Linked DNA regions of Anolis sagrei. The protein of the gene in region 1 binds, or shares a complex with, the protein of each later gene. Links are inferred from orthologs where the notes say so. Each region holds a gene or a part of one and is shown in the gene's direction. Other genes may lie near its edges. The genes, in order: NSMCE4A, NSMCE1, non-structural maintenance of chromosomes element 3 homolog and NSMCE2.

Region 1 (7,330 bases):
TCTGAAAATTATATTGGATAGATCACATCAGCTCAAGTTTCTGACACAGAACATATGCCATCCAGTAGTCACCATCTGATCACCCACAGAAAAGCATATTTAATAATCTAGAGCCACAGACCTTATTTTAGATCTTGCAGCCCACCTGTGGGCTGTGGCCCATTGCTTGGGAACCACTGATTTAGACACTACACTCCTACTGATGCATTCTGAAATCACATTGGTTTTTCTTTTAGCTGCTGTATCACACCAAATGATTTAGTAGCTTGTGGTCTACCAAGGCTCCCAGATCCTTTTCACATATACTGTTTTTAAGCCAGGTGTCACCCATGTTATATCTGCATTTCATTTTTCCTGCCTGAGTGTAGCACCCTACATTTCTCTCTACTGAAATTCATTTTATTGTGTTTCCCTCCAGCTCTCTAACTTTTCAAAGTTGTTTTGAATTATGATCATGTCCTCTGGAGTATTAACTAGCCTTCATAATTTAGTGTCATCTGACCACTGGTTCCTATGTATACTATTAAAAAAAATCTAACTTTCTCTTCCTTCCCCCATACTTTCCATTGAAGAATTAGGAAATCATAAATGTTTACTAGTATTTAAACAGCTTGTCCTTTTCCCAAAAAAGGCATTGCTCGAGAATCAACAAGACTCCATGCATAATAAATAATCCCACCTTTCTCTTAGACACACACAGTAGCAACCCCTAGGGTTTCAAAGTTGAAAACTACAAAAAATCTCCTGTATCTTTATTAGTGATCTAGAACACCATAGAGTCATGAAACATTTTGCAGCAGTAAAAGGTCTCTGGGTACTTCCTTTGGGCCCCATGGTGGTTCAGCTGAACTTGCTGACTGAAAGGTTGGCAGTTAGAATCCGGGGAGTGGGGTGAACTCCTGCTGTTAGCCCCAGCTTCTGCCCACCTAGCTCTTCAAAAACATGCAAATGTGACTAGATCAATAGGTACAACTTCTGGGAAAGGTAATGGCTCCATGCAGTTATGCTGGCCACGTAACCTTGGAGGTGTCCATGGACAATGCTGACTCTTTGGCTGAGAATTGAAGATGAGCACCCCCCCCCCCCAGAGTCAGACATGACTAGACTTAATGTCAAGGAAAACCTTTACCTTTGGCACAAATTTAAAAGTTATATAGAACACAGTATGTCCTTTTATCTATCCTATGGGTGGTCTTGATGAGAGTATGGGATTTATGTAAGCGCTGTTTTACCATTCAAGAATTGATTAAATGGGTCTGCTCTTATTGGAACTAACAAATCAGTTTCAGGCCAGGATGTTTCTTCATGTGGTCGATGGAATCATTATGCTGTATATGTGCTAATGAGTCCATCCCAATTATTTTTAAAAAATAAAATCACTTCCCTAAGAAGCTATGTGGGAAAAAGATAATTAACTTTTCTACTTTTCCTTGACAGCTATTCCTTATGTCAAAATCGATTCCCCTAAGATGCTACAAGGAACAGTAGTAGTAGTAATTTTATTGATTAGCCCTTAGGCCATATCACAATAAGAAACAGAACAACAAGGCCTGACAAGACCTGATCACACTCCACGTAGAAAGTTAAAATAAGACACTTATAATAATACAGTAAATACATATGTTAAGACATGATAAAACTGATAAACTGATCAAGCTGAGTATATACATCATATTTCATTATCACCCCTACAATTTACCCCAATCAGCCCTACGTAGCAAGTGTAGTTACAAGGAACAGATTTTAACCAACAGAATACAGAATGGGGAGGAATTATCAGGTTACATACTCCTTGGATGCATCTACACTGTAGAATTCTGTTTGAAACCACTTTAACTACCGTGGCTCAATGCTATGGAAGCTTGGGATCTGTAGTTTGATGAGGCACCATAACATTTTGACAGAGAAGGCTAAAACCTGTAAAACTACAACTCTCATGATTCCATTGCCTTGAGCCATGTCAGTTATAAAGTCGTGTCAAACTGAATTAATTCTACAGTGTAGATGCACCCTTAATTCAAAAACAAAAATCACAAATGTATTTTCTTTGAGGCTCATTGTATCTTGATTCTTTTATGTAGATTATCCTGGTGGCTTAATTAAGTGTGTTCACCATCTCCCTCTGCTGGATACATAAAGCTAGAACCATTATTTAAATCAACTTCAAGTTATATTGAATACAGTATGTCCTTTTATCCTAATCTCTGCTAATTTTATAACCCCCCTTTTGTTGTTTACCTTTTTGTAAGAGAAAGGGGAAACAAACAACAACAATAGTAATGCCTAATTTTCAACGGGGCTTTCTTCCCATGAAATGTGTTTACAATTATGACAGCTTTGATCGATCTCTCCGAACAATAAATAGCTTTCAAGAATTAGCAAAACAAATTTTCCTCCACAAGTGTGGAGGGTCGTCTGCGCAGCTATATTGTTCTCTTATACATCTTGCTACCCAAGCATTATAAATAATAGAATATCATTTATTCACATTGCCAACTTGGCATAATGTTTTGAACATTAGACTAGTATCGCTATGAGGGTTGCCATAAGAAAGGCTCTCTGGATGTGAATGGATTACAACTCCCATCATGCTCTGTCAAGTCTGCCTGAAGCCCTGCCAGTATTTTAAGTTGGTCATGAAGGGTATGTGTGTCAAGTCTGAACTGGATCCATTGTTGGTGGATTTACATGACTCATTGGAATCTGGATGGACTATACCTCCCATCATCCCTGTCATTGATCCCTTAAAAATATTGGTAGTTTAAGCTGTTCATAATGGTTATGCATGCCAAGTTGGGTGCAGATCCACCATTAGTATGATTCACATAGCCCTCTAGATGTGGCTAGACTACAACTCCCATTATCCCATCATTGATTCCTAAACCATATTGGTGGTTTAAGGTGGTCATAATGGTTATGCATACCAGGGTTGATCCGGATCCATCATTAGTATGATTCACATAGCCCTCCAGATGTGGCTGGACTACAACTCCCATCATCCTCTGCCATTCAACCCCCCCCCCCCCCCCACACACACACACACACCAAATCATGCTGGCAATTTAAGCTGGACATAATGGTTATGTGTGCCAAGTTTGATCCAGATCCATTATTAGTGAGATTCACACAGCCCTCCAGATGTGGCTGGACTACAACTCCTATCACCCCATCATTGCTCCCTAAAGCATGTTGGTAGTTTATCAGATCATAATGGTTATGTGTGCCAAGTTTGATCCAGATCCATTATTAGTGAGATTCACACAGCCCTCCAGATGTGGCTGTACTACAACTCCCATCACCCCATCATTGATCCCTAAAGCATGTTGGTAGTTTATCAGATCATAATGGTTATGTGTGCCAAGTTTGATCCTGATCCATTATTAATGAGATTCACACAGCCCTCCAGATGTGGCTGTACTACAACTCCCATCACCCCATCATTGATCCCTAAAGCATGTTGGTAGTTTATCAGATCATAATGGTTATGTGTGCCAAGTTTGATCCAGATCCATTATTAGTGAGATTTACACAGCCCTCCAGATGTGGCTGGACTACAACTCCCATCACCCCATCATTGATCCCTAAAGCATGTTGGTAGTTTATTAGATCATAATGGTTATGTGTGCCAAGTTTGATCCAGACCAAGCATTACTGAGATTCACTCCAGATGTGTGTCTGGACTACAACTTCCATCATCCTCTGTCATTCACCGCTAAACCCTGCCAGTAGTTTAAGCTCGTCATAATGGTTATGTGTGCTGAGTTTGATCCAGATCCATTATTAGTGGGATTTACACAGCTTCTGCATGTGGCTAGACTACAACTCCCATCATCCTTTCAAACCCCCAGTAATTTAAACTGGTAATGATAGTAATGAGTGCCAAGTTTGATCCAGATCCACTATTGGTGGGAGTCGTACATTGCTCCAGATGTGGCTGGACTACAATTCCCATCATCCTGTCAATTTCTCCCCTCCCCAAAATCCCACCAGTATTTTAAATTGGCCAGGATAGGTCTGTGTGCCAAGTTTGGTCCAGATTCACCAAGCTTTAAGGGAGCCTTTGTGGTTCAAATATACAAACAAACATGTAAACATACAAATATTCCATATTTTGACTTTTATAGGGAGAGATTATGTCTTCTATTGTTTTTGCTGTAGTGACACAATTCTATGCCTTTCAACTCCAACGGGATGGCAAGCCTTTGTTTTTGTTTGTTTTCTTGCAGCCAATGAAGAGGCGCCAATATACAACAGAGAGGCTAAGTTTTGAACATAGAGTTACTACTCTAGAGCGACGTCCATCCAGCCGCTGGTTTCACTTTAGCCGGAAGTGCTATTGGATCCTATTCATTCCGTGGCATCAAACGTCCGCTTGGCTCTCGGGCCCCTTTCTCTAAGGTTCCGCCTCGCCGGAAGTCGCAGGTTAAATAACCGAGCGAGGCGGGAGAGCAGCCATGGCTGAAGGGAAGGACCGGCCTGCCGAGGAGATGGAGAAGAAGGGCAGCCCAAGGAAGAAGAGCGGGGCGGAGAAGGAAAGGAGGACTTGCATCGGGCAGGAGACGGACGAGACGACGCGGCGGCTGCTCCGCCAGCAATACCGGCAGCTGATCGCCAACTGTCAGGGTAAGTGTGGCTTTCCCTACCTTTCACGCATCTGCACTGTGGGATGCATGTGGTTTGGCTGCCATGGCCTAATGCTATGGGATCTTGGGAGTTGTAGTTTCGCAAGACCTTTAGCTTTCTCTGTCCAAGAAGGCTGGGGCCTCATCAAACTACAAAGCCATTTGATTCCATAGCACTGAGCCTGGAAAATGTAAGTGTCAAACTGCATTCATTTCAAGTCTGTATTATATTACTCCTTGGAATAGTAATAATAATAATCTTTATTTATATCCCGCCACCATCTCCCCAATGGGGACTCTGCGAGCACAGCATTTTTCCGAATGAAGCAGAGAGTGTTTGAGGACCGGGACATCCTAGGGATACCAAGGTGCTTGTTTATAAAGCTATTGTCCTCCCAACCCTGCTATATGCCTGCAAAATGTGGACTTTCTACAGATGTCACATGCAACTCCTGCAGCAATACCATCAGCACTGCTTCTGGAAAATCCTGCAAATCTGAGAAGACAGGCGGACAAACATCAGCATGCTGGGAGAAGCAAAGACCACCATAATTGAAGCGATGGTCCTCCGCCATCAACTCTGCTGGACCGGCCACGTTGTCCGGATGCCCAACCACCGTCTCCCAAAGCAGTTGCTCTACTCTGAACTCAAGAATGGAAAACGGAATGTTGGTGGGCAGGAAAAAATAAAATTAAAGATGGGCTCAAAGCCAACCTTAAATACTCTGGCATAGACACTGAGAACTGGGAAGCCCTAGCCCTTGAGCGCTCCAGCTGGAGGTCAGCTATGACCAGCAGTGCTGCAGAATTTGAAGAGGCACGAATGGAAGGTGAAAGAGAGAAACGTGCCAAAAGGAAGGCACGTCAAGCCAACCCCAATCGAGACCGCCTTCCACCTGGAAACCAATGCCCTCACTGTGGGAGAAGATGCAGATCAAGAATAGGGCTCCACAGTCACCCACCAGAATACTGATCCTTGAAGACTATCCTACTCGGCCATGTTCGTTTGTGGGATTAACAGAACTCAAAAAACACTGGAAGAATTGACACCAAATTTGGACACAAGGCACCTAACAACCCATTGTATGTCCTTCACTCAAAAAATTGATTTTGTCATTTGGGAGTTGTACTGGGAATTATAGTTTACCTACAATCAAAGAATATTCTGAACCCCACCAACGATGGATTTGAAGCAAACTTGTCACACAGTTCTCCCATGACCAACAGAAAATGCTGGAAGAGTTTGGTGGGCAGTGTCCTTTGTTTTTGGAGTTGTTGTTCACCTACATCCAGAGATCACTGTGGACTCAAACAATGATGGATCTGGACCAAACTCTACAAGAATACTCAATATGCCCAAATGTGAACACTGGTGGTATTTGGGGAAAATGGGATTTTGACATTTGGGAGTTGTAGTTGCTGGGATTTATAGTTCACCTACAATCACAGAGCATTCTGAACCCCACCAACAATAGAATTGGGCCAAACCTCCAACACAGAACCCCCATGTGGGCCACAGCAACGCGTTGCAGGGGATGGCTAGTATATATAACAGAGTAAAATAGTGCCCTTTATATAAAATGGCAAAAGTAAAAGAAACCATCATTTGCTGCATCTTCTTTTCAGCACCAAAATGATGAAATAAAATGGCCTTGTAACAGTACATTAACAGTACGAGGCTAAAGACCGTATAAAACTACGGCTTCTAGGATTCCACAGCATTAGGGCATGGCAGTTAAAGCCATCATACATTGTCAACGTCAGAAAAGAACCTTCCGTAGAAAACCTGAGCATCTTCCATGGCTCTCTTTTTCAGGGCACTGGGCTCCAGAATCCCCTTCAGATTCCCAAATTTGGATGCTAAAGGCCCATTATATACAATGGTGTAGTAAAATGATTAAAACCAAGCTTTGCTTTTGAGATTCTTATAAAAAATTAAATCCGGATGGTTGAATCCCATGATGTGGATATGGAAGGCCAACTGTAATTAGTCTGAAAGGGTTGCTATTCCTGTTTTTCTCTCTCCTAGGATGGATCTATTATATTACAATATAATGGCATAGTACAATATAGTAATATATAATACTGATATTGTACTATGTTAATAATATAATATATTGTATGTATATATATCTATATCTTGTAAGCTGCTCTGAGTCTGCTTCGGGGTGAGAAAGGCGGCATATAAATGTCATAAATAAGTAAATATTTACCACACTTTTATCCCACCCTTTTCAACCCGAAGGCGACTCAGGGCAGCACACAGACTGGCAACAATTAGATGCCAAACACACATAAGTACATCATTTAAAACAGGTTAAATCACATAATGAAATTCATATAAAAATAATTTAAAACTATAAAAATCAATGACTTCCAGGTTAAAATCCATGTCCATATTCGTTCGCAATACTGAGTTTGTCTGGTTACAATGAGGTTCCAAAAGCCTGCACAAAGAGCCAGGTTTTTACTCTTTTCCTAAAGATCAGGAGGGAGGTAGCCGATCTAATATCCCCAGGAAGGGAGTTCCACAGCCGAGAGGCCATCATTGAGAAAGCCTGTCTCCCGTCTCCGCCAAGCGAGCATCTGTGAGGCAGGCAGGATCGAGAGCAGGACCTCCCCAGATGATCTTAAATTCCTGGAAGGTTCATAAGGGGAGACACATTCAGATAGGTAAGTTGGGCCGGAACCGTTTAGGGCTTTATAGG
Region 2 (7,973 bases), on another chromosome or scaffold:
GGATGTCCAGTTCCGGCCAGACTCCCCACAGACCCCACATTGACAGAGCCCTGGAAGCTGGGTCCGGGTGATGCTTCCAGAGAAAAGCCTATTGGGGCTCCCTGCTCTTTGGGAGGCAGAAGCTCAAGGACCCGGGCCTCTCCGCTTCCAAAGCCTCCATCCAGAAGGTCCCGGAAGAGGCCAGCAACTGCATCTTGGCGAGGGAGAATCGGCTCCTCTTCCTCCTGCTCCTCCTTGAGGAAACCCTCGGTCTTGGTCTCAGGCATGCGGCTGCAAACCACCAGAGGGGACTCAACCACTGCCACCTCTGGCATCAGGAAGGCCTTTGGTCTGGAGCCAGGGTCTGCCTCCTGGAGTACTGGAGGGACACCCTGGAGGCCCTTGCCAATTCTGTTTGGGGGAGAAAACACATAGACATAAGGCTCAAGTACTGTGCAGAACAAAAAAATCAGGTCAGGATGGGCTCCACCTGCCCCTTGATCATTTCCCATTGTCTGATGGGATCTTTCCTGCGACACCCTCCTGGCAGCAGGGAAGAATGGGATCAGAGACTTTTCACATCACTGTGCAGCTGATGAGCTCACCCTTTGCTTGGTCCTGGCAGGAGTGTCTTCCTTTTGTGTGGGATCTGCTTCCCAGGAGGAAACTGGAAGATTGAGGAGAAGCTTCAGGATGAGACATCTGCCTCAGACCACCCCAAAGGGAGCGACGCCGTTAAAGCCCACTCGCCCTCCCACCATGGGGCGGCTCCTACCTTGGCCAGGCTCTCGGCCATCTTGCTCTTGGCAGGGCTTGGGATCCGATCCCACCAGTCCCTTTTCACCCTGCAAAGCAAGTTCCACAAACAAACTTGATCCGGTGCTTGGCTGGAGGAAGAGGAGATAGCCTGACCACTTCTTTGGCCGAGGCTGCTTCTTGAAATCCCACTTTGCAACTCACCTGGCGAGGCAGAGGTAGCAGGTCAGGATCATGGCAACAATTGGGATGCAGGACCACAGCGCCAGCTTCCAGGGCTCCTCTCCTGGCTCAAAATCTAGAAGGCATATTTTACAATAGAATATACTGTTTTCACCAGAAATATTTTTGTTGGGACTGGTAAATGATATCATCAACAAGGAAAATATTGGGTTTCCCCCCCCAAAACCCACTAACAGCTGCTTGAATAGTTTATGCCAGACACTGGAAGGAAAGTATTATTCCATCTGTAAATGAATGGTGGACCAAACTGCTAAATTTTGCAGAAGTTGATAAACTAACTTGTCTTCTTAGAAATAAAATAATACAATGTTTTCAAAATAATTGGAAACCTTTTGCACAATATATAATTAGAACATTTAAAAACTGATCTACAAGAGTGTTGAGTGATTAAAAATACATGTTGTATAATTAGATCACTTTTGAATACATTTTGTAAAATTTACATATATATATTTATATGAATATACATTGCTTGATAGGACAAACTGTTGTAAGACGCCATCTTAGCGTAGGGTTGGGAAGTTTTCTTTTAAATGGGTTACGTGTGTTTTACTGTTGGAAAGTGTAAAATTACTACTGTTGACTGGTGGCTTTGTATATCAGTAGTTAGAATGTGTACACTTTGGAAATAATAATAAAATTCATTTTTAAAAAATCCGGAAGGCAAGACCCCCATCCCCCTTATCATAAGCCTCACTTTCCCCACATGGGCATTGGGAGGGGGAGGGGTCTCTTTGGGCAAATGAATAATAGGCAATGGTGCCCCTGCAGCCCGGAGGCGCTCACCATTGCGCCATTCATATGGCTGGCTCCAGTCGCTCCAGATGTCCCCCCAGTCTTCCAGCTTGACCTGGACCCTGGCAACGTAGTCAGAGGCAGACTCGAGGCGGTCGGCGAAGATGTCGTAGGTCGGCTTCTGGACGGTGGCACTGATTGCCTTGGAGGAAAGGGAGGCACAGGTTTTGGTGGAGTTCCAGCCCCAGGAGGGAGGGAGGCAGGACCCAGAGGGACTCTCTCACCCTCCGACTGGCCCTTCGCCTTAGGGCCAGTGGGGTCCACAAGGTCACCTACCCTCTCCAGTTGGCCCTTTGGCCAGTAGGACACCTGGAAGTAGGCCATGGCAGTAACCAGGGGGCTTTCCTTGGGGTAGTCCCACTGCCAGGAGAGGTGGAAGGAGCGGTCCTGCTTCGTAGCTGTCAGGTTGACCATCGGACGAGGCTTCACTGCAGAGAGGGAGGAGAAGATAAAGGGCCTGGGAAGCCCCTAAACCTATAACCTTATTGGTATCAAGAACCAGATTATTGTCCCTGCACCATGAGAGCAGCTGATCTACCTCATCCTGATAGGCAGGCTCCTCCCCTTCAGAGAGAAGAAGCCCCACCACAATTATGTCAGATGTAAATTTAGTAATGGTATTGTTATAAATGGGGTGGGGGCAGGTAGAACAGGATTCTCACCTGCCCTGCCTCCCCTTGGAACGTCTGCATGCAAAATACTGGTGGAGAAGGAGGGAAAAGGGAGGGAGAGGTTTCTCAGGCCTCTTGCCTGAATCCCAGGGCAGAGAAGGTTGAGATGGGTAGACTCTTCAACCAGAATCCCCCTTCCTTCCTCCTCTGTTTGGCTCTGCAGTGGTTGCTGCCTCTTTGTTTTCTGCTGCCTGAGCCTGGCTCCTGGATGACTCAGCAACCCATCCTTTCTTGACACTTTCTGTGGTTTCCGATGTTAATCGGCAATCCATCACTGCTGTTCAGCTTCTGTGGCCTGAAGCAATGCTTAAGTCACAGAATGCAAACAGCGCATCTGGGTTATCTCTCTGGAAGATATATTTATTTCTATTTATTATGTTTATTTAATATGTTTATTGGAGTTCTTGACATCCCTGGCCCATTCTCTGTTTGGATATTGGCCAGCATGCCAATGACTTAAATCAAGAAATGGCTTCCTAAGATCTACAGAGATACTTGCAGGAACATCTCAGCAAGCAAGAGTCCAAATGTGGTAGGCTAAAACCCGGAATCTCAATCAGTGGCTGAGTCTGGATGAGAAACTCCCTCCTGGGCACACAGAAGACTTGGAAGGTGCTGAACAGGCTGCGCTCTGGCACCATGAGCCAACCTTAAACAGGGCTACAATGTGGAGTCCATGACATGCAAGTGTGGGGGAGAGCTAACCACAGACCACTTACTACAATGCAGCCTGAGCCCTGCCAATGGAGGACCTTGTTATAGTGACACCAGAGGCACTCCCAAATGGCCAGCTTCTGATCATAATGCCAAGATTTTAACTTTGTTTATGGTTTTTAATACTTTATAACTGTACTAGCTGTGCCCTGCCACGCGTTGCTGTGGCCTTTAGTAAGAGTTTTGAAGTCTCTGCCTGGCCTCTCTTCCTTCCTTCCCTCACTCTCTTTCCCTCTTTCTCTCTCTCACACTCCTTTCTCCCCCCCCCCCCCCCCCCTCTGGCATCCCTCCTTCCTCTCCCTTCTTTATGCTTGTGTGTAAACTTGAGCATTTTCTGTTGGTCATGGGGGTTCAGTGTGGCATGTTTGCCCCAATTCTGTCGTTGGTGGGGTTCAGGATGCTCTTTGAGTGTTGGTGAACTCTGAATCCCAGTGACTACAACTCCCAAATGTCAAGGTCTATTTCGCTCAAACTCCATCTGTGTTCATATTTGGGCGTATTGAATGCTTATGCCAAGTTTGGTCCGGATCCATCACTGTTTGAGTCCACAGTGCTGTCTGGATGTCGGTGAACTACAACTCCCATACTCAAGGTCACGGAGGGAAGGGTTGGGGCGAAGGGAGGGGGCGTGTCTTTCCGGAGGGGGAGGGAGGAGTGAGTCAGGGAGGGAAGGGATGGGGGTGAAGGGTGGGGGCGACTTTGAAGACAAAGGTGGGGGGTAAGATGAAGGAGGGGGTGGAGGGAAGGGGGTGGAGGGAAGGTGGCGGGGGGGAAGTTCCGTTGTTTGTGTGTGTGTGTGTGTGTGGGCGGCGACGTGTTCGTGCTGGGCGGGGCAAGGGAGGGAGGGAAGTGCGGAGGGTGCGTTGGCCGTTTGGCCATGTGAGCGCGCGCGCTGGGGACTTTGCACCAGTGCGCATGCTCAGTTGTTTTGCCGTTTTTTCTGTGTGTGGTTGTGTTGTTTTCAATTTTGAATGGATTAGTTTGTACCGAGTGGGTTGTCCTTGGGGCATGGCAATTTTGGTGCAGTTTCGTTGGGGGGTTGTGGAGTTTTGCTGTCCCGTTGAACCAACCTAACAGATTTATATATATAGATTCTCAATTTGCTTCTGACACGATAAATAAACTGAAGTTGTTTTATCGGCTGTTAGGGATTGTGGGAGTAGAAGTCCAAAACACCCAGAGGGGCCAAGTTGGCCCAGGCCTGCCTTCAGCCCCAGCTGCCAAGGAGTTGTCCTTGGTTCTGCCTGGCTTTTTCTTTTTCAAAGGGCGAGGCCCCTTGAAGGCCAGCACTTCCGGAAAGAGAGGGGCCCCTTCTCCCTCACCTAACTCTTCGGCATTCGGCGTGGCGTTCCAGGCGATCTTCCACCGGGCGCCCTCCCTCTGCTCCAGCTTCAGGCAGAACCGAACGTAGCGGAAATCCTTCCTGTGGAGGAGGCAGCGGCACCGACCATCTTCTCGAACCGGAAGGCAGGTCTCCCTGGGAAAGGAAGGGGGAATGATGAGGGGTCCCACCCTGCGCGCATGCGCACTCGAGGCAAGGCCTACCTACCGCGGGGGCTCGACGAGGAGGCGGAAGTCGCCGCAGTCGGAAGAAGGGGGCACCTCCCAGGAGCAGGTCAAGGCCTCAAAGAAGTCCGTGTGGCAAGACGGGGCGAGGGTTGACGAGGAGGAGGCGGTGAAGAGGAGGAGGAGGAGGAAGAGGCCGAAGGGCCCCGGAGAGGTGGACGCCATCCTCCCTTCCCTCCGCTGGGCATCTCTCTGAGGCAGCACAGCAACGGGGGAGGGGCGGGGGGGGGCGGGGCGAAGGCAGTCCACTTCCGCTTCCTCCCTCGGAGGCCTCCTCCCCTCCTCCTTCCGCGGCCATGATGACGGAGGCGCACCGGCAGCTGCTCCAGGCGCTCCTGGGGCTGGGCCTGGTGGAGGCGGAGCGGGCGCGGAAGCTGCAGCGCCTGGCTTGCGAGGCCCACCGCGGTGAGAGGAGGAGTCATGTCGAAACCCAGGTGCATTGGGTTGCTGTGAGTTTTGTAGGCTGTATGGCCATGTCCCAGCAGCATTCTCTCCTGACGTTTCGCCTGCATCTCTGGTTAATGAGTTTTTTAGAGGTTCTATTGGCAGTGAGGCAAATGGAGTCAGGCCCGTAGCCAGAAAAAAAAATGTGAGCGGTTGAATTTTTCCCCCACCCAAGATGTCTTTTTAGATCAGTCTCTCTTCAACAACAAGGCCCTTTGCATCATTAAGCAAAGGTTCTTCACAGGGGTTTTTCTTCCATGTCAGGAGCGACTTGAGAAACTGCAAGTCGCTTCTGGTGTGAGAGAATTCGCCGCAGGCAAAGACCTTGCCCAGGGTTGCCCGGATGTTTTGATGTTTTACCATCCTTGTGGGAGGCTTCTCTCATGTCTCCGTTTGGAGAGCTGGAGCTGACAGAGGGAGCTCATCCACGCTCTCCCCAGATTCGAACCTGCCACCTGTCAGACTTCAGTCTTGCCAGCACAAGGGTTTAACCCACTGCGCCACCGAGGGCTCCCTCTTCACAGGTAATAGGTCCTGAATCACGGTTCTCTCCTTAAGCCCGTTCTTGTCTGCTACAAAGGACAATAGTTTCCACAAAAGGCAGATTTTTTTTCTGTTTTCTTGTTCTTCCTTCTGATTTCCTTTCTCATCAAGACATTTTCCACAGTGAACGAGGAAGGGTTTTTTAGCCAAGCACAAGTTGTTCTGATGGTACTCTGTTTTTTGGTGTCTATTGAAGATGTCTATTGCAATTTCCCATCACACAAATTGTCTAGCAACCAATACACCAAGGTTCTGATGACCACCTTTACTTCCAATTTCTCCTCCAAGCACCGCACCGTACTTGCAGAGTGCACCTTGTACATGACATGAATAGGCTAACCAGGGAAATCTGCTGAACCATTTGGGTTGAAATGGACCAGTGGTGGACACCCGTTTCCTCAGTTTTCACCTGCAATCCAGGTCAAATCCCCCCGCCCACAGTCCCACACCTTAAGCTTTGCCTGGTGGCTACCACATTTTGGCAGCTTCCACTATGTCAAATATTGCTGCTATTGCAATGTAAATTGGTAGAAAGCTAGGTATTGATAGTGTGAATAATCAAAATTGCATTGAGATAGTGCTTACAGTTCTGGAGAGACTCCCATTTCTGCTTTTCATTGACTTGGCAGGAGGATTTGGTTAATCAGTTAAAATTCATGAGTAAACCTGGTTGGTTTTTTTTACCTGAAAAATTTTGGGGGTAGTTGAACCCCTAAACTGCCCCCTTGGCTACAGGCTTGGCCATGTCCCTGCAGCATTCTTTTCTGACATTTTGTCTGCATCTGTGCCCAACATCTTTAGAGGTTCTGTTTTCAGTGAGGCAAGTGAAGCTTACATATATTACAGATCCCACTCCCCCTGAAAGACTGTGTCCGCAGCTTGGGATTCTCCTGGATCCGTCTCTCCAAATGTCAGCCCAGGGAGATGCGACAATAGTCAGAGGGCTTACTACTAACTTTGGCTGATCTGACAGCCGCACCCCTTTATAGATTTGGTGGACCTGAAGATGGTAGTCACCTTAAGGTCAGACTTCTGCAGTGCATTTTACATTGGACTACCCTTGTACCAAGGTCAGATACTCCAGCTGATTCAAAATATGGCAGCCAAATTCATTATGGAAACATCTAGAAATGAGCATATTACACCTATTCGAAAGTCACTCCACTGGCTGTCAATTAGTTTCCAGGCAAAGTACAAAGTGGTGGTACTTTGGACCCAATATCCCTCTGGCTGGTGACAGCAATCGGGGTCCCTAAGCTTCCCTCTGGGGCTCCTTTCCTGGGCATTGGGCTTGTGGTTGCTATGGCTGGTTGCCTTCAAGCCTCTTCTGACTGAGGGTGACACCAAAACAAACCAATCATGGGGCCCTTGACAAAGGGGGGGATGCTCTGAGGCCCTCTCCTACCCATGTTGTAGCCATGCCTGGCTCTGCTTAGCTCCTGAAGCCAGGCATGAGAAAGATGTGCCATTCTTGGTTCCTGGTTTGGTGCCACTCAGTGCCTCAATGCTTTTTGGTCCCTCTTTTTGCACCTCCACTCAGTGCCTCTGTCACTGTTCAAAATGCTGGACATCACAGCCTTGTCTGTATTCCCACCTCCTTTAAGGTGAACTAAACCATCTAAACTGGGCTCTACAGGCTAATGGGTATGCTATGACAGAGTAAAGAGAAAGATCCACTTAGAGGGAAAGTGTTCTTACCATACGTCAAGGGAGCCACTGACTGCATAGGGAAGCTAATGAATCTACAGACAACCCAAAGACCTACCAAGAACATTCAACAAATGCTCCATTCAGCAAAGGACAAGAGGGGTCCTCTAACTTCTGCAGGAGTCTACTGCATACCATGCTGTTTTGGACAAGTCTACATAGGGACCACCAAACACACCAATGCCCAAACACGAATCAAAGAACATGAAAGGCACTGCAGACTACTTCAACCAGAGAAGTCAGCCATAGCAGAGCACCTGATGAACCAACCTGGACACAGCATATTATCTGAGAACATTAAAATGCTGGACCACTCTGACAACCATCTGCAAGGCTAATCAATACTAATCAAGCTAACTAATTGCAAAATTTAAACACTTGCTTCAAACAGAAAAGAGTTTTTCCTCACACCCTGGACACCCCACAAATATATATATACCCCTCTTGTCTCATTCCCACATACCTCCAATCAAACCTCTGAGGATGCCACCCACAGATGCAGGCAAAACGTCAGGAGAGAATGCTTCTGGAACATGGCCATACAGCCCGAAAAAC
Region 3 (6,841 bases), on another chromosome or scaffold:
AAAATTGTACAGCAAGGAGTGGATAAAAATGTGATAGTTACTGATTTTTGTCTTTGGGTGTTTAATCCTGAAGATAATGAGCTTATGCAGATTTCCTTTTTTCCAGGCCACCACACATCGAGAATATTGAAATGATCAGACTCCTTTGTTTTGAGCCACACTTTGGGGTTATTTCTCAATGAGAAACAATAGTTGGATCATTTGCTTCCTGACAGGTAAAGGTTAATGTTTTTCTGTCCCATAAGTAAAACAGAACCCGTTTAATAGATATATAGGAATAAAAGTGGGATAAAATATAGTTTATAGAAGAGAGAGACAAGTCTGGGGATGATGGGAAGGCCTGGGATTTTTATGCAAAAGAGAGGACACGGCTGCATCTCAATCTGGCTTGCTGCTCTTCGAAAAGTATAAATCCCTAACTATTAACATTTTTATTAGGGGTGGGGGTAGGGTGTTTAATAATATTTTGAGTTTTAGGATACAGAATATATTCATATATTCGGTTGCTGTGAGTTTTCTGGGCTGTATGGCCATGTTCCAGAAGCATTGATGTGGCTGAAATGTCAGGAGAGAATGCTTCTGGAACATGGCCATACAGCCTGGAAAACTCACAGCAACCCAGTGATTCTGGCCATGAAAGCCTTCAACAACACATATTCATATATTAAAGGTACAGGTTCCCCTGACATTAAGTCTAGTCATGTCCGACTCTGGGGGTGGTGCTCATCTCCATTACTAAGCTGAAGAGCTGGCATTGTCCATAGACACCTCCAAGGTCACGTGGCCAGCATGACTGAATGGAGTGCCATTACCTTCCTACCTATTGATCTACTCTTATTTGCATGTTTCCAAACTGCTAAGTTGGCAGAAGCTGGGCCTAACGACGAGAGCTCACCCCGCTCACTGGATTTGAACCACCGACCTTCTGGTCAGCAAGTTCAGCAGCTCAGCGGCTTAACCTGCTGCACCATCAGTGGCTCCATTCATATATTGTAAAGAAGAAACTGCAGAAACTATCGAGGTATCTCCCTTCTAACCTCAGCTGGGAAAATCCTCGCAAAAATCCTTGCAAATCGCCTTCTACCCCTCTCAGAAGACACCCTCCCAGAATCCCAGAACGGCTTCCGCCCCTCCAGAGGAACAGTGGACATGATCCGCACTGCACGACAGCTCCAAGAAAAATGCAGGGAACAAAATCAACCTCTGTACATGGCATTCATTGACCTCGCAAAGGCATTTGACACAGTGAATCGCAGCGCTCTCTAGACCATCCTCCAGAAAATCGGGTGCCCTGACAAATTTGTGAACATCCTGCGGCTCCTCCATGATGACACGATGGCAACAGTCTTGGACAGCAATGGCTCCCAAAGTGACCCATTTAAGGTGGAAGCAGGTGTCAGACAGGGATGTGTTATTGCCTCAACCTTATTTTCCATCTTCATCGCTATGATACTTCATCTTGTTGATGGGAAGCTTCCCACCGGAGTGGAAATCATCTATGGGACAGATGGCAAGACTGAAAGCCAAAACCAAGGTTACAACAACATCTGTTATAGAACTCCAGTATGCTGATGACAATGTCTTCTGTGCACATTCAGAAGACCTACAAGCTGCTCTAAACACCTTTGCAGAAGCATATGAGAAGCTCGGCCTGTTATTGAACATCGAAAAAACCAAAGTGCTGTTTCAGCAGTCACCAGGCAATCCCTCTCCAATGCCAGAGATACAGCTTAATGGAGTAACATTAGAAAATGTTGACCATTTCTGCTACCTTGGCAGCCACCTCTCCACCAAAGTCAACATTTACACTGAAATTCAACACTGCCTGAGCTCTGCGAGTGCAGCATTTTTACGAATGAAGCAGAGAGTGTTTGAGGACCGGGACATCCATAGGGATACCAAGGTGATTGTTTATAAAGCTATTGTCCTCCCAACCCTGCTATACGCCTGCGAGATGTTGACAGTCTACAGACATCACATGCAACTCCTGGAATGATTCCATCAGCACTGCCTCCGAAAAATCCTGCACAAGTATTGCACTGTATGCAACAAACACTTGCAAATGTATGTCTACTTAAATAAAATAAAATTTTAAAAAATTTAAAAAATCCTGCAAATCTCTTGGGAAGACAAGCGGACAAACGTCAGTGTGCTGGAAGAAGCAAAGACCACCAGCATTGAAGCGATGGTCCTCTGCTGTCAACTCCGCTGGACCAGTCACTTTGTCTGGATGCCCGATCACCGTCTCCCAAAGCAGTTGCTCTACTCCGAACTCAGGAACAGAAATAGAATGTTGGTGGGCAGGAAAAGAGATATAAAGACAGGCTCAAAGCCAACCTTAAAAACTCTGGCATAAACACTGAGAACTGGGAAGCCCTGGCCCTTGACCGCTCCAGTTGGAGGTCAGCTGTGATCAGCAGTGCTCTAGAATTTGAAGAGGCACGAATGGAGGGTGAAAGAGAGAAATGTACCAAGAGGAAGGTGCCGCAAGCCAACCCCGACCGGGACTGCCTTCCACCTGGAAACCAATGCCCTCACTGCAGGAGAAGACGCAGAGCAAGAATTGGGCTCCATAGTCACCTACGGACCCACCCTCAGGATACTATACTTGGAGGATCATCATCCTCGGACGAGGGATCGCCTAAGTAAGTCATATATTACTCATATTATTTGTAGTTCACAAATCCTGTTATGATCATCTTACTATTTTTTACAAAGCCCATCAAAGGTTTCCATTCTTCTTGCCGTTTGTGCAAATTAGTTTGTTGTAAAATTAATTTGTCCACTTCAGCCATTTCAAAAACATTTGGAATCCAACCATCTGTCATTGGTACAGTTGGTTGCTTCCATAATTTTATATACAGGGTGAGGCTGCATAACTTTTTAAAAAATGCGCGCCATTCAGTCGGTTAAAGACGTAGCAGAGCGCTAGTGGTCTCGTTCAAGAGACGGGAGTATAAAGTTTTGTCCTGACACAGTTCAGTCGCCATCATGCGTTGGAACAGCGAGGAGCGTGCTTTTGCCGTTGAGGCCTACTTTTCGAGCGGATTTGGAGTGGCCGGCCCGCTCTCCAGATTTGGCCCCTTGTGATTTTTTTCTGTGGGTGTTTTGAAATCCTGTTTATGTGAACCGTCCATGGACCCTACAAGACTTGAAGACCAACATCCAGGAAAAAATTGTCAACATAACGCTGGCAAGAGTCATGACAAACGCCAGAAATCAGTTTACTCAGTGTATGGAGAATGGAGAATGGGGGACGTCACCTACTTAATTTGATCTTCAAAACTACGTGAAACAAAACTTTAGGTATGCACCTACATTATTAATTCTGATTCATACAATGGGTTTTATTAAGTTTCGAAAAAGAAGTTATGCTGCCTCACCCTGTATTTAGATAAAATGTTCCTATTGTTTATATCCATTTAGGGAACTAGAAATATATCCCTATTTTTCGTTTTCCATTCATAAAAACCCCATAACTGCCACGGGGAACATGCTGTGAAATTCTGAGAATTGTAGTTTTGCCAGGGTCCCGCTCTAAACTACAAATCCCAGGTGGTTGACATGGCAATTAATAGAATAGCGCTGTAACAGTATAATGTGGCCATTTTTTTTTCTCCCCCACCCACAGCGTATGAATAGGCAGAGAATGCCCTTATATATGAAACTTATGCCAGGCTCAAACTGAGTGATTTATGAGGAGAGACATCATTCCCACCTTCGCCCGCCATTTTCCTTGCCAGGGTCTGCAGTTAAAACGCGCATGCGCACTGTTTTTTTCCTCTCAGGAGGAAAAAAAACTAATCAGAACTTCCTCTATCATCGAAGGAGCATGCGCACTAGGAAGTCCGGGTGATAGAGCGTGCGCATGCGCAAACCGGCGGCAGTCCTGGTGGTTAGTATCAGCGAGTAGGAAGGCGGGAAAGTGGCTCTCTGGGCATTTAGGCAAGTTGTTGGAGGGTTGGGATGCAGTCAGGACAATACTGCTATGTCTCAGTGGTATAGTATCCTGGGATTTGTAGTCTGGTGAGGCCCCAGCACCTTGTGGCAAAACAGCTAATGTCCCTGTAAAACTAGAAGCCTTGGGTGCATCTAGAGCAGGCCTCAAACCATTAAATAGCCAGGCAAGGGCTTCTGGGAGTTGGGAGTTGGAGAGCTACAAGTTCTGCAGGCCTGCTCTAAACCATAGAATAAATGCCGTTTGCCTGCCATGGCTCAATGATCTGTAATCCTGGGAGTTGTAGTTTTACAAGGTCTTCACTGTCAATTGGACACACCTGGAATACTGTGTCCAATTCTGGGCACCACAATTGAAGAGAGATATTGACAAGCTGGAATGTGTTGATCATTTTAGTCGCCCTCCAGAGGAGGGCGACTAAAATGATCAAGGGTCTGGAGAACAAGCCCTATGAGGAGTGGCTTAAGGAGCTGGGCATGTTTAGCCTGAAGAAGAGAAGGATGAGAGGAGATATGATGGCCATGTATATGATAGCCTTCTCGGTGGTGGCCCCTCACCTGTGGAACTCACTCCCAGGGGAAATTAGACCAGCGACATCCCTCCTTTCCTTCAGGAAAAAGTTGAAAACGTGGATTTGGGATCAGGCATTCAGACAACCTGGCAGATGAAAAAGGACGTGGCAATAGAATGGAATTGACATACACAATGGAATTAAGGGAATCTGGACAATGCATGCTGAGTTTGTGATTAGTTTTTAATGATTGTGTTATTGTTAACTGTTTAATTGTGATAAATGCTGATTGTTGTTTTATATGTATATGTACTCTATGTAGGCATCAAATAGTGCCTTTTTTGTAAGCTGCCCTGAGTCCCCCCCTAGGGGGTTGAGAAGGGTGGGGTAAAAGTAACTGTAATAAATAAATAAATGAATATAAATATGTGAGAGGAAGTCACGGGGAGGAGGGAGCAAGCTTGTTTTCTGGCTTCAAACTACAAGAAAGGAGATTCCATCTGAACATGAGGAAGAACTTCCTGACTGTGAGAGTTGTTCAGCAGAGGAACTCTCTGCCCTGGAGTGTGGTGGAGGCTCCTTCTTTGGAAGCTTTTAAACAGAGGCTGGATGGCCATCTGTCAGGGGTGCTTTAAATGCAATATTCTTGCTTCTTGGCAGGGGGTTGGACTGGATGGCCCATGAGGTCTCTTCCAACTCTTTGATTCTATGAAAGCGTGCTGGTGCCTCACCAAACTACAACTCCCATGAGCCCATAGCACTGAGTCATTGCAGTCAAAGTGGTGCCAAACTGCATTCATTCTACAGTGTGGATACACTCTAAATTTCCAGAACTAGCTGGTCTTACATATTTGAACATGGTTGCTCCTGGGTTGAAATTTAGCAAGCGAGGGGCTTAAAACCAACTCGAGAAGCCCAGTCTGTGGGAGGGGAAAGAGGCTCCAGGTTTTAATGTTGGTTTCAGGAATTGATCTTTAAAATCAATATTACTCTGGAATTCATTGCCCGGAGAGATCAGGAAAGCCCCTGTGTTAGAAACCTTTAAAAATTACAGTCTTAAGACCTGGCTCTGCCGTTGCTCTTTTGGAGAGTAGCCACATAATTTTATGAAATTGCTCCCTCAATGTTCTTGTCCCAGGAGCGCCCCCCCCCCCTTTGTACGAAGGTTTGTTTATTTTCCTATCTCTGTGAGCTCTCCCTTCCAATTAGTTCTGCCCCCTTATCTCACCCGCAGTTTTTAAATCATTTTATGTATATGCGGCCCATTCTCTGTTTGATTTTTATGTTCAGTGTATATTGTTTTATATGTTTTGATGTTTTACACTTTAACGTTATGTTGTTTATTTTACTGCAGTTTGTATTTTTGTATTGTAGTTTGTTGTTCGGGCTTGACCCCATGTAAGCTCTCCGAGTCCCCGTTGGGGAAATGGTGGCAGGGTATAGATAAAGTTTATTATTATTATTATTATTATTATTGGCTGAGAGACAGAAATATACACGATTTCCCCATCAGCAGGTTATCTGTCCGAATGTATATTTCCCCTACGAACAGCTTGGAGACTAAGATCATCTGGGGAAGCCCTGCTCTCGGTCCTGCCTGTCTCACAAGTACGGCTGGTGGGGGATGAGAGATAGGGCCTTCTCAGTGGTGGCCCCTTGGTTTTAGAACTCCCTCCCTAGCAATATCAGATCAGCCTCCTTCCTACTAGCTTTCAAGAAGAGAGTCAAAACCTGGCTCTGGAAGCAGGCTTTGAAAATTAGGACAATGCAGTATTCCAAATATAGAATTATGTGCAATTTCACCAAGGAATGAACTCTGGATGGCGTGTTTTTAACTTTGAGTATATTTTAACCATTTTAAACATGTTGTAATTTTAAACTATTTTATGGTGAATTTGTTGTTTTGAGGCACTGTGTATGTGCCATTGTAAGCTGCCTTGAGTCTCCCTGCTGGGGTAGAGAAAAGTGGGGTATAAATATGGCTAAATAAATAAATAATCTGACCTAACATTTTCTTCCTGTCCTTTACAGATAACTCATCAGAAAGATGTCACAGAGCAGGCGTAGTAGTAAAGGACCTGGCCCTTCTCAGGTATTACTATTGTCTTATTTATTTATATCCCGCATTCCTCTCTTAAAAGAAACTAGATGGCTACAAACAACACAACGTGTGTCCGTTGTTTTGTAGTGTGGTTTAATTCATGTGTAGTTTATCCTGACCCCATAAAATTAATGCAATACTTACAATATGTACAGGTTTTCACTGAGAGAGAAAAACAGGACAGAAGATGGAGCTAGATCTTTCCTGTATTTAGGTGTGATATCATAGTACAAAACACCTGTAGTATTTTCAACTTCACACACTTCACTTA
Region 4 (7,655 bases), on another chromosome or scaffold:
CTTAATATTTCGATTTTATATTGTTGTGTTGTTTACTTACATTGGTTTTGTATTTTACGTTATTTTATTTTCTAATTTTCTGTTGTGTTTTTGTGTTATATTGTTTTTACTGTATTGATGGGCGTGGCCTCATGTAAGCCGCCCCAAGTCCCCTTGGGGAGATGGTGGCGGGGTATAAATGAAGTTTTTATTATTACTATTATTATTATTAGTAGTAGTATGGTAAGGCACCAGCACTCTTTGGCAGAGAAGGCTAAAAATAAACCTTGTAGAACAACAACTCCCACAATGTCACAACATTAAGCCACAACAATTAAAGTCGTGTGAAACTGCATTAATTCTATATTGTAGTGGGAATCATTATACTTTTCAGATATGGTTGGACTGCAATTCCCAGCAACTCTAGTTTGCATATTCAGTGGTGAGGAATGTTAAGAGTTGTAGTCCAACATCAACTACTAAGGAGGCTGTTCAGGTCCTGAACCGCTGCTTGGCCGCTGTGACAGTCTGGATGAGGGCAAACAAACTGAAATAGAATCCAGACAAGACAGAGGTACTCCTGGTCAGTTGCAAGGCCGAACAAGGCATAGGGTTACAGCCTGTTTTGGATGGGGTTAGGCTCCCCCTGAAGACACAGGTTCGCAGTCTGGGTGTGATCCTGGATTCATCGCTGAGCCTGGAACCTCATGTTTCGGCGGTGACCAGGGGAGCATTTGCACAGTTAAAGCTTGTGCACCAGCTGCGCCTGTACCTTGGAAAGTCTGACTTGGCCACGGTAGTCCACGCTCTGATTACATTCCAAATAGACTACTGCAACGCTCTCTATGTGGGGTTGCCTTTGAAGACGGTCCGGAAGCTTCAACTAGTCCAACAAACTGCAGCCAGGTTGCTAACAGGAGCAGCGCTCAGGGAACATACAACCCGCTTGTTGTGCCAGTTCCACTGGCTGCTGGTTTGCTACCTGGCCCAATTCAAAGTGCTGGCTTTGGCCTATAAAGCCATAAACGGTTCTGGCCCAACTTACCTGTCCAAACTTGTCTCCCCTTATGGACCATTGAGGACTCTAAGATCATCTGGGGAGGCCCTGCTCTCGGTCCCGCCTTCGTCTCAAGTACGTTTGGTGGGGACGAGAGACAGGGCCTTCTCAGTGGTGGCCCCTCGGCTATGGAACACCCTCCCTAGGGAGATTAGATCTGCTCCCTCCCTCTTAACGTTTCGGAGGCAAGTTAAAACATGGCTGTTTGAGAAAGTGTTTACCAATGCAGAGTAGCTAATATAGGAAATCGAACGATTTGACAATGGAACTGGACAATGCTTGATAATGAGACGCTAATGATGTTGTTTTTATTGTTTTTGTGGTGTTTTATATTGTTTAATGTTTTAATCTGTATTATGTTTTTATATGTACTAATTTGTTGGAAACTGCCTTGAGTCACCGAATGGCTGAGAAAGGCGGTTTACAAATACAGTAAATAAATAAACAAATAGAAGGTTGTATAATTTCCAATTTGTTTTAAGCACATGTGCCTTGAAGATTTATCATTATTATTACCAACTACTTCCCAATGAGAGTCTGACCAATATTGCTCAATATTTCTTCTCTTCCTGTCACTAAGGCAAGCCACTTCCCATCCGCACCCATACTGGAGTTGCATTAATTCACCATCTTTCTGCATACTAAACCTCTTTTACCATGCTTCAACATAAGAGAAAGTGTGTTATTATGCAGTTATACAAGTTTCATTCCATGTTAACTCTCATGGTTCTACACTAAGGTCTTCTGGGATCTGTAGTATGTTAGGTGCCTGAGAAGAGAGGCACTGAGGAATCAATCAGTTGAATTCTGCAACCTGAAATGGCTTAAAGGCTGCAGCTACATAGTATGGAATTGTGAAATCTGTAGTTATAGCCCTATCAGAAAAGTTAACTTATACATTAAGATTAGCAAAAAGATAAATAAAAGATCTATTTGATAACAAGTGGACACCATTCACCTGCTTCATATCCAAAAGTAATGGCAAATTCAGAACATCAAACAACCAAGAAAGACGTGGATGAACAATTAGTAAATATATTAGAATAACCAATATATGCAATGGGTGAAATTAGAATAGAACGGACAAGAGCTGCATTTTTATAATGTTGTCTAAATGATGTTGGGAAGTAAGGAACCTGTATAGGTCTGGGAACAGATGATGTAACAAGGTAAGTGTGCAATAATAATAACAATAATAAATAATATATTGTAATAATAATAATAATAACCTATCTCCCCGAGGGGACTCAAAGCAGATTCCAGCATGTAAACAGACACAGAAAAACATTCAATACCTCTGAAACACAATGGAACACAAATACAAAGGCAAAGGCTTTCCCTTTCATCTCCGGCTCTGGAGGCAGTGCTCATCTCTGGCTCTGCGGGGAGGTACTCATTTCCATTTCCAAGCTGAGGAGCCTGCGTTGTCCATACATACCTCCTGGTCACGTAGCCATGACTTCATGAAGCGCCAATTTACCTTCCTGCCAAGGCGGTACCTATTGATCTACTCACATTTGCATGTTTTCGAACTGCTAGGTTGGCAGGAGCTAGGGCTGACAGCAGGAGCTGAACTGCTAACCTTCAGGTCAGCAAGCTCAACAGCTCAATGGTTTAACCTGTTGCGCCACCATGGTGTGTGTGTGTATCTATATATAATGCATTATGTATGTGTGTGTGTGTATATATATATATATATATATATATATATATATAATAAAGTGTATAATAATAATATTAATAATAATATGCATTAATTATACAACCTCCCTGCTGGGGGCCCCAGTGGCACAATGGGTTAAATTGCTGAAGTGCTGAACTTGCTGACCGAGAGGTCAGCAGTTCAAATCTGGGGAGTGGGGTGTGCTACCGCTGTTAGCCCCGGCTTCTGCCAACTTAGCAGTTCGAAAACATGCAAATGTGAGTAGATCAATAAGTACTGCTCCAGTGGGAAGGTAACAGCGCTCCATGCAGTCATGCCGGCCACATGACCTTGGAGGTGTCTATGGACAACGCTGGCTCTTTGGCTTACAAATGGAGATGAGCGCCAACCAGAGTTGGACACGACTGGATTTAATGTCAGGGGGAAACCTTTACCTTAACCTACCAGCTGGGGCATTTTAGGGTTCGTCTACATTGTAGAATTAATGCAGATTTAACTGCCTTGCCTTAATGCTATGGCATCAAGTGAATTGTCATTTTACAAGTCTTCTGTCCCAAAGTGTGTTGGTGCCTCACCAAACTACAACGCCCAGGATCCCATTGCACTGACCCACTGCACTTTATTTATTTGTCGTGTCAGGGCAACCAGTCAATTATATTACATTTCTAACAGAACAAAGCAAACAAACAGACAAAATACAAAATTTGTGAGTTTGGTAGTTGATTAAATGTCCTTTGACCAGTATCTGGCCACTTGGAGTGCTTCTGGTGTTGCTGCAAGAAGGTCCTCCATTGTGCATGTAGCGGGGCTCAGGTTGCATTGCAGCAGGTGGTCAGTGGTTTGCTCTTCTCCACACTCGCATGTTGTGGATTCCATTTTGTAGCCCCATTTCTTGAGGTTGGCTCTGCATCTTGTGGTGCCAGAGCACGGTCTGTTCAGCACCTTCCAAGTCGTCCAGTCCTCTGTGTGCCCAGGGGGGAGTCTCTCATTTGGTATCAGCCATTGGTTGAGGTTCTGGGTTTTAGCCTGCCACTTTTGGACTCTCACTTGCTGAGATGTTCCAGCGAGTGTCTCTGTAGATCTTAGAAAACTATTTCTAGATTTAAGTCGTTGACATGCTGGCTGATACCCAAACAGGGGATGAGCTGGAGATGTCTCTGCCTTGGTCCTTTCACTATTGGCTGCTACTTCCCGGCGGATATCAGGTGGTGCAATACCGGCTAAGCAGTGTAATTTCTCCAGTGGTGTAGGGCGCAGACACCCTGTGATAATGCGGCATGTCTCATTAAGAGCCACATCCACTGTTTTAGTGTGGTGAGATGTGTTCCACACTGGGCATGCATATTCAGCAGCCGAGTAGCACAGCGCAAGGGCAGATATCTTCACTGTATCTGGTTGTGATCCCCAGGTTGTGCCAGTCAGCTTTCGTATGATATTGTTTCTAGCACCCACTTTTTGATTGATGTTCAGGCAGTGCTTCTTGTAGGTAAGAGCACTGCATTAATTCTATAGTATAGCTGCACCCACCCACCCCTGGTGTCAATAACCAACCAGTTTAATGGGGAATTATTTCCCAACCAACCCTCCCCAGTCCTTTTTCATTGCCCTGCATAGACCTTGCAAGCTCTCTTTCTACCAGGAAGATAGTAAACAAATCCCTTCCTCTTTTTTCCCCCCTCCACCTCCAATTTTGTTTTGTTATATAATTATTTCTTTCTCCCAAAAATGCAAACAGCTGACCTGATCCTCTTCCAGCAGCAGAAAAAAAACAAGAGGTTGGAATTCAGCCTGGAATTTGCAGGAAACACCCAGAGAAAATGCAAGAAGAGAAAGCAAACCCACCATTCAGCAGCCTCTTCCTCTCGCCTTGCATCACATGGGAGCTTTCTCAGGTCATGTGAACCAGGCTCTGGGTGATGCTGATCCGCTTCCCTTTTGGACAGGCTCCTCCTCCTCCTTTTCAAGAGCAAATGGGTGTCTGGATCCGGATCCAGCAGTGGAAAGAGACCCAGAGAAAGGGAGCAAAGGGATCCCCTTCTTTTCTAAGCCCTGCGCCTCCCTGCAAAAATTAAAAAAAGGAAAGGCAGCCCAAGAGCCAAGGCTTTGCAAAGTAAGAAGTTGCTGCTGGGTGGATTGGATGGAAGCTTGGATGCATCTACATTGCAGAATTAACGCAGTTTGGCACCGCTTTAACCAGGAGTTCTTGCTCTTTGAACAGCTAAAGACCTTGCAAAACTCCCCCAACTCCTCCAAATGTATTTGGACACAGCATTCCTTCCAAAACTTGTTCTAGTTATGCCAGCAAATGTTTAGTTTGAGCAAAGAGAGAAATAGTTTTGACTTTCACAATTATAAGAGAAAAAGTGGGCTATAAATCAACATAATAATAATAATAATATGTATTATTATTTGAAACATAACAAGATGAGTCCACAGCGAACAAGATCACTTTCCTGGCTGTTGTATTGGATCACACACAGGAAATATTATTATTATTAGAAACACAACAAGATTGGTACACAGTGAACAAGATCAGTATGCTGGCTTTTGTATTCAATCAGTGCAGATTGTTTTTAAGTGCAGGCCAAAGTTTTTAGGCACTGCGCCCAGTGTGCCAATCACCACTGGGACCACCTTTTTCTAGCTTGTCACAGAGTCTTTGCAGTTCTGTTTATTAATGTTACATTTATTATTATTGTTATTATTATTATTAGAAACACCACAAGATGAGTCCACAGTAGACACTCTGCTGGCTGTTGTATTGGATCACACGTTGGACACTTCCCAAGTGTCTAGTCTTGGTGAATAATGCGTGCAGATCCCAGTAGGGTGGCCTTCTGCAGCTGGCCGATGGTAATTTTGTCAGTGCCGATTGTGTTTAATTATTATTATTATTAGAAACACCACAAGATGAGTCCACAGTAGACACTCATCTTCCCAAGTGTCTAGTCTTGGTGAATAATGCGTGCAGATCCCAGTAGGGTGGCCTTCTGCAGCTGGCCGATGGTAATTTTGTCAGTGCCGATTGTGTTTAATTATTATTATTATTAGAAACACCACAAGATGAGTCCACAGTAGACACTCTGCTGGCTGTTGTATTGGATCACACGTCGGACACTTCCCAAGTGTCTAGTCTTGGTGAATAATGCGTGCAGATCCCAGTAGGGTGGCCTTCTGCAGCTGGCCGATGGTAATTTTGTCAGTGCCGATTGTGTTTAAGTGCAGGCCAAGGTCTTTAGGCACTGCACCCAGTGTGCCAATCGCTGATCAGGACCACCTTGACTGGCTTGTGCCAGAGTCTGCAGTTCGATCTTTAAATCCTCATATTGTGTCAGCTTTATTTATATTTATTATTATTATTATGGAGCCCCCAGTGGAGCAATGGTTAAACTCCTGTGCCAACAGGACTGAAGACCGACAGGTCACAGGTTCTAATTGGGTTCCATGTTGGGAGGAAGGTGGGATGCCAATATAATAAATGAATACAAATATATAATAATAATACATATATTTTTCCCCCAGGAAATTAGACCAGAATGTCTAGCCAAAGTGTGGTCTCCTTTGCCGGCGTGGATACATGCCTTTCCTCTCTGAAACACTGCCAGTCCTATATAAGTACCGGAATGGAGATGGCTACCAAGGTTGCTTTTGACCTTGTGGAAAATCGCAGTGAGTTTCTCTCATTTTTTGAACAAATAGCTTTATTCTTGCTGCAATCACTTCTCAGGGTTTCCTATCTGTCCTGGAATGCTCAGGGAAAGAAATGAGCGCTATCCATCTTTAATGTGTCGTTGAAGGCTTTCATGGACGGTATCAATAGGTAGCTGTAAGTTTTCAGGGCTGTATGGCCATGTTCCAGAAGCATTATCCCTTGCGCCGTGCTACTCTGCTGCTGAGTATGCATGCCCAGTGTGGAACACATCTCACCATACTAAAACAGTGGATGTGGCTCTTAATGAGACATGCTGAATTTTCACGGGGTGTCTGCGCCCTACACCACTGGAGAAATTACACTGCTTAGCCGGTATTGCACCACCTGACATCCGCCGGGAAGTAGCAGCCAATAGTGAAAGGACCAAGGCAGAGACATCTCCAGCTCATCCCCTGTTTGGATATCAGCCAGCACGCCAATGACTTAAATCTAGACATAGTTTTCTAAGATCTACAGAGACACTCGCTGGAACACCTCAGCAAGCGAGAGTCCAAAAGTGGCAGGCTCAAACCCAGCCCTTCAACCAATGGCTGATACCAAATGAGAGACTCCCTCCTGGGCACACAGAAGACTGGGCGACTTGGAAGGCATTGAACAGACTGTGCTCTGGCACCACGAGATGCAGAGCCAACCTTCAGAAATGGGGCTACAAAGTAGAATCCTCGACATGCGAGTGTGGAGAAGAGCAAACCACTGACCACCTGCTGCAATGCACCCTCAGCCCTGCCACATGCACCATGGAGGACCTTCTTGCAGCAACACCAGAGGCACTCCAAGTGGCCAGATACTGGTCAAAGGACATTTAACCAGCTACCAAAGTCACAAGTTGTGTATTTTTCTGTTTGTTTGCTTTGTTATGTTAGAAATGTAATATAATGGACTGGCTGCTCTGACACGACAAATAAATAAATCTCCTGTCGTTTCGCCTGCATCTATGGCAGGCATCCTCAGAGGTTGTGAGGTCTTTAATCCATCTTTAATCTGGTGGGAACTCGAACTCCCCTTTCTGAGTGAGAGAGTTTGGCCAAAACAGAAAAAAATAATTTCCACAGCAGTGGTTCCCAACCTGTGGTCTGTGGACCACCAGTGGTCCACAAGGACTAAAATACGGTCCGCTGCCTCACCATTACTACACTGTTGCGACAGGTCTCGCAAAACTCTTTTATAGTGCCGAGTTTTGTGTGGGATGTTTAGCCCAATTCTACTGTTGGTGGGGTTCCGAATGCTCTTTGATTGTAAGTGAA

Evidence for each region.
Region 2: NSMCE4A (region 1) and NSMCE1 share a complex: the UniProt entries of both Homo sapiens proteins name them as parts of the SMC5-SMC6 complex. The link is inferred for Anolis sagrei from reciprocal best matches to the Homo sapiens genes NSMCE4A and NSMCE1.
Region 3: NSMCE4A (region 1) and non-structural maintenance of chromosomes element 3 homolog share a complex: the UniProt entries of both Homo sapiens proteins name them as parts of the SMC5-SMC6 complex. The link is inferred for Anolis sagrei from reciprocal best matches to the Homo sapiens genes NSMCE4A and NSMCE3.
Region 4: NSMCE4A (region 1) and NSMCE2 share a complex: the UniProt entries of both Homo sapiens proteins name them as parts of the SMC5-SMC6 complex. The link is inferred for Anolis sagrei from reciprocal best matches to the Homo sapiens genes NSMCE4A and NSMCE2.

The regions. Positions count from the first base shown.
Region 1 is NC_090023.1:200,308,102-200,315,431, forward strand, and holds the start of NSMCE4A (non-structural maintenance of chromosomes element 4 homolog A), read left to right. Parts: upstream 1-4,319; 5' UTR 4,320-4,454; coding exon 4,455-4,623; intron 4,624-7,330. UniProt on the Homo sapiens protein: Component of the SMC5-SMC6 complex, a complex involved in DNA double-strand breaks by homologous recombination. The complex may promote sister chromatid homologous recombination by recruiting the SMC1-SMC3 cohesin complex to double-strand breaks.
Region 2 is NC_090034.1:22,524,843-22,532,815, reverse strand, and holds the start of NSMCE1 (non-structural maintenance of chromosomes element 1 homolog), read left to right. Parts: upstream 1-4,964; 5' UTR 4,965-5,020; coding exon 5,021-5,129; intron 5,130-7,973. Other genes in the region: IL4R (interleukin-4 receptor subunit alpha), read right to left, coding at 1-390, 585-646, 755-824, 940-1,033, 1,765-1,915, 2,050-2,201, 4,481-4,635, 4,708-4,889. UniProt on the Homo sapiens protein: RING-type zinc finger-containing E3 ubiquitin ligase that assembles with melanoma antigen protein (MAGE) to catalyze the direct transfer of ubiquitin from E2 ubiquitin-conjugating enzyme to a specific substrate.
Region 3 is NC_090022.1:172,853,820-172,860,660, reverse strand, and holds the start of non-structural maintenance of chromosomes element 3 homolog, read left to right. Parts: upstream 1-3,830; 5' UTR 3,831-3,895; exon of another isoform or gene 3,896-3,945; intron 3,946-6,500; 5' UTR 6,501-6,516; coding exon 6,517-6,561; intron 6,562-6,841. UniProt on the Homo sapiens protein: Component of the SMC5-SMC6 complex, a complex involved in repair of DNA double-strand breaks by homologous recombination. The complex may promote sister chromatid homologous recombination by recruiting the SMC1-SMC3 cohesin complex to double-strand breaks.
Region 4 is NC_090024.1:19,390,615-19,398,269, reverse strand, and holds the start of NSMCE2 (E3 SUMO-protein ligase NSE2), read left to right. Parts: upstream 1-4,636; 5' UTR 4,637-4,809; intron 4,810-6,221; 5' UTR 6,222-6,235; coding exon 6,236-6,368; intron 6,369-7,655. UniProt on the Homo sapiens protein: E3 SUMO-protein ligase component of the SMC5-SMC6 complex, a complex involved in DNA double-strand break repair by homologous recombination. Is not be required for the stability of the complex.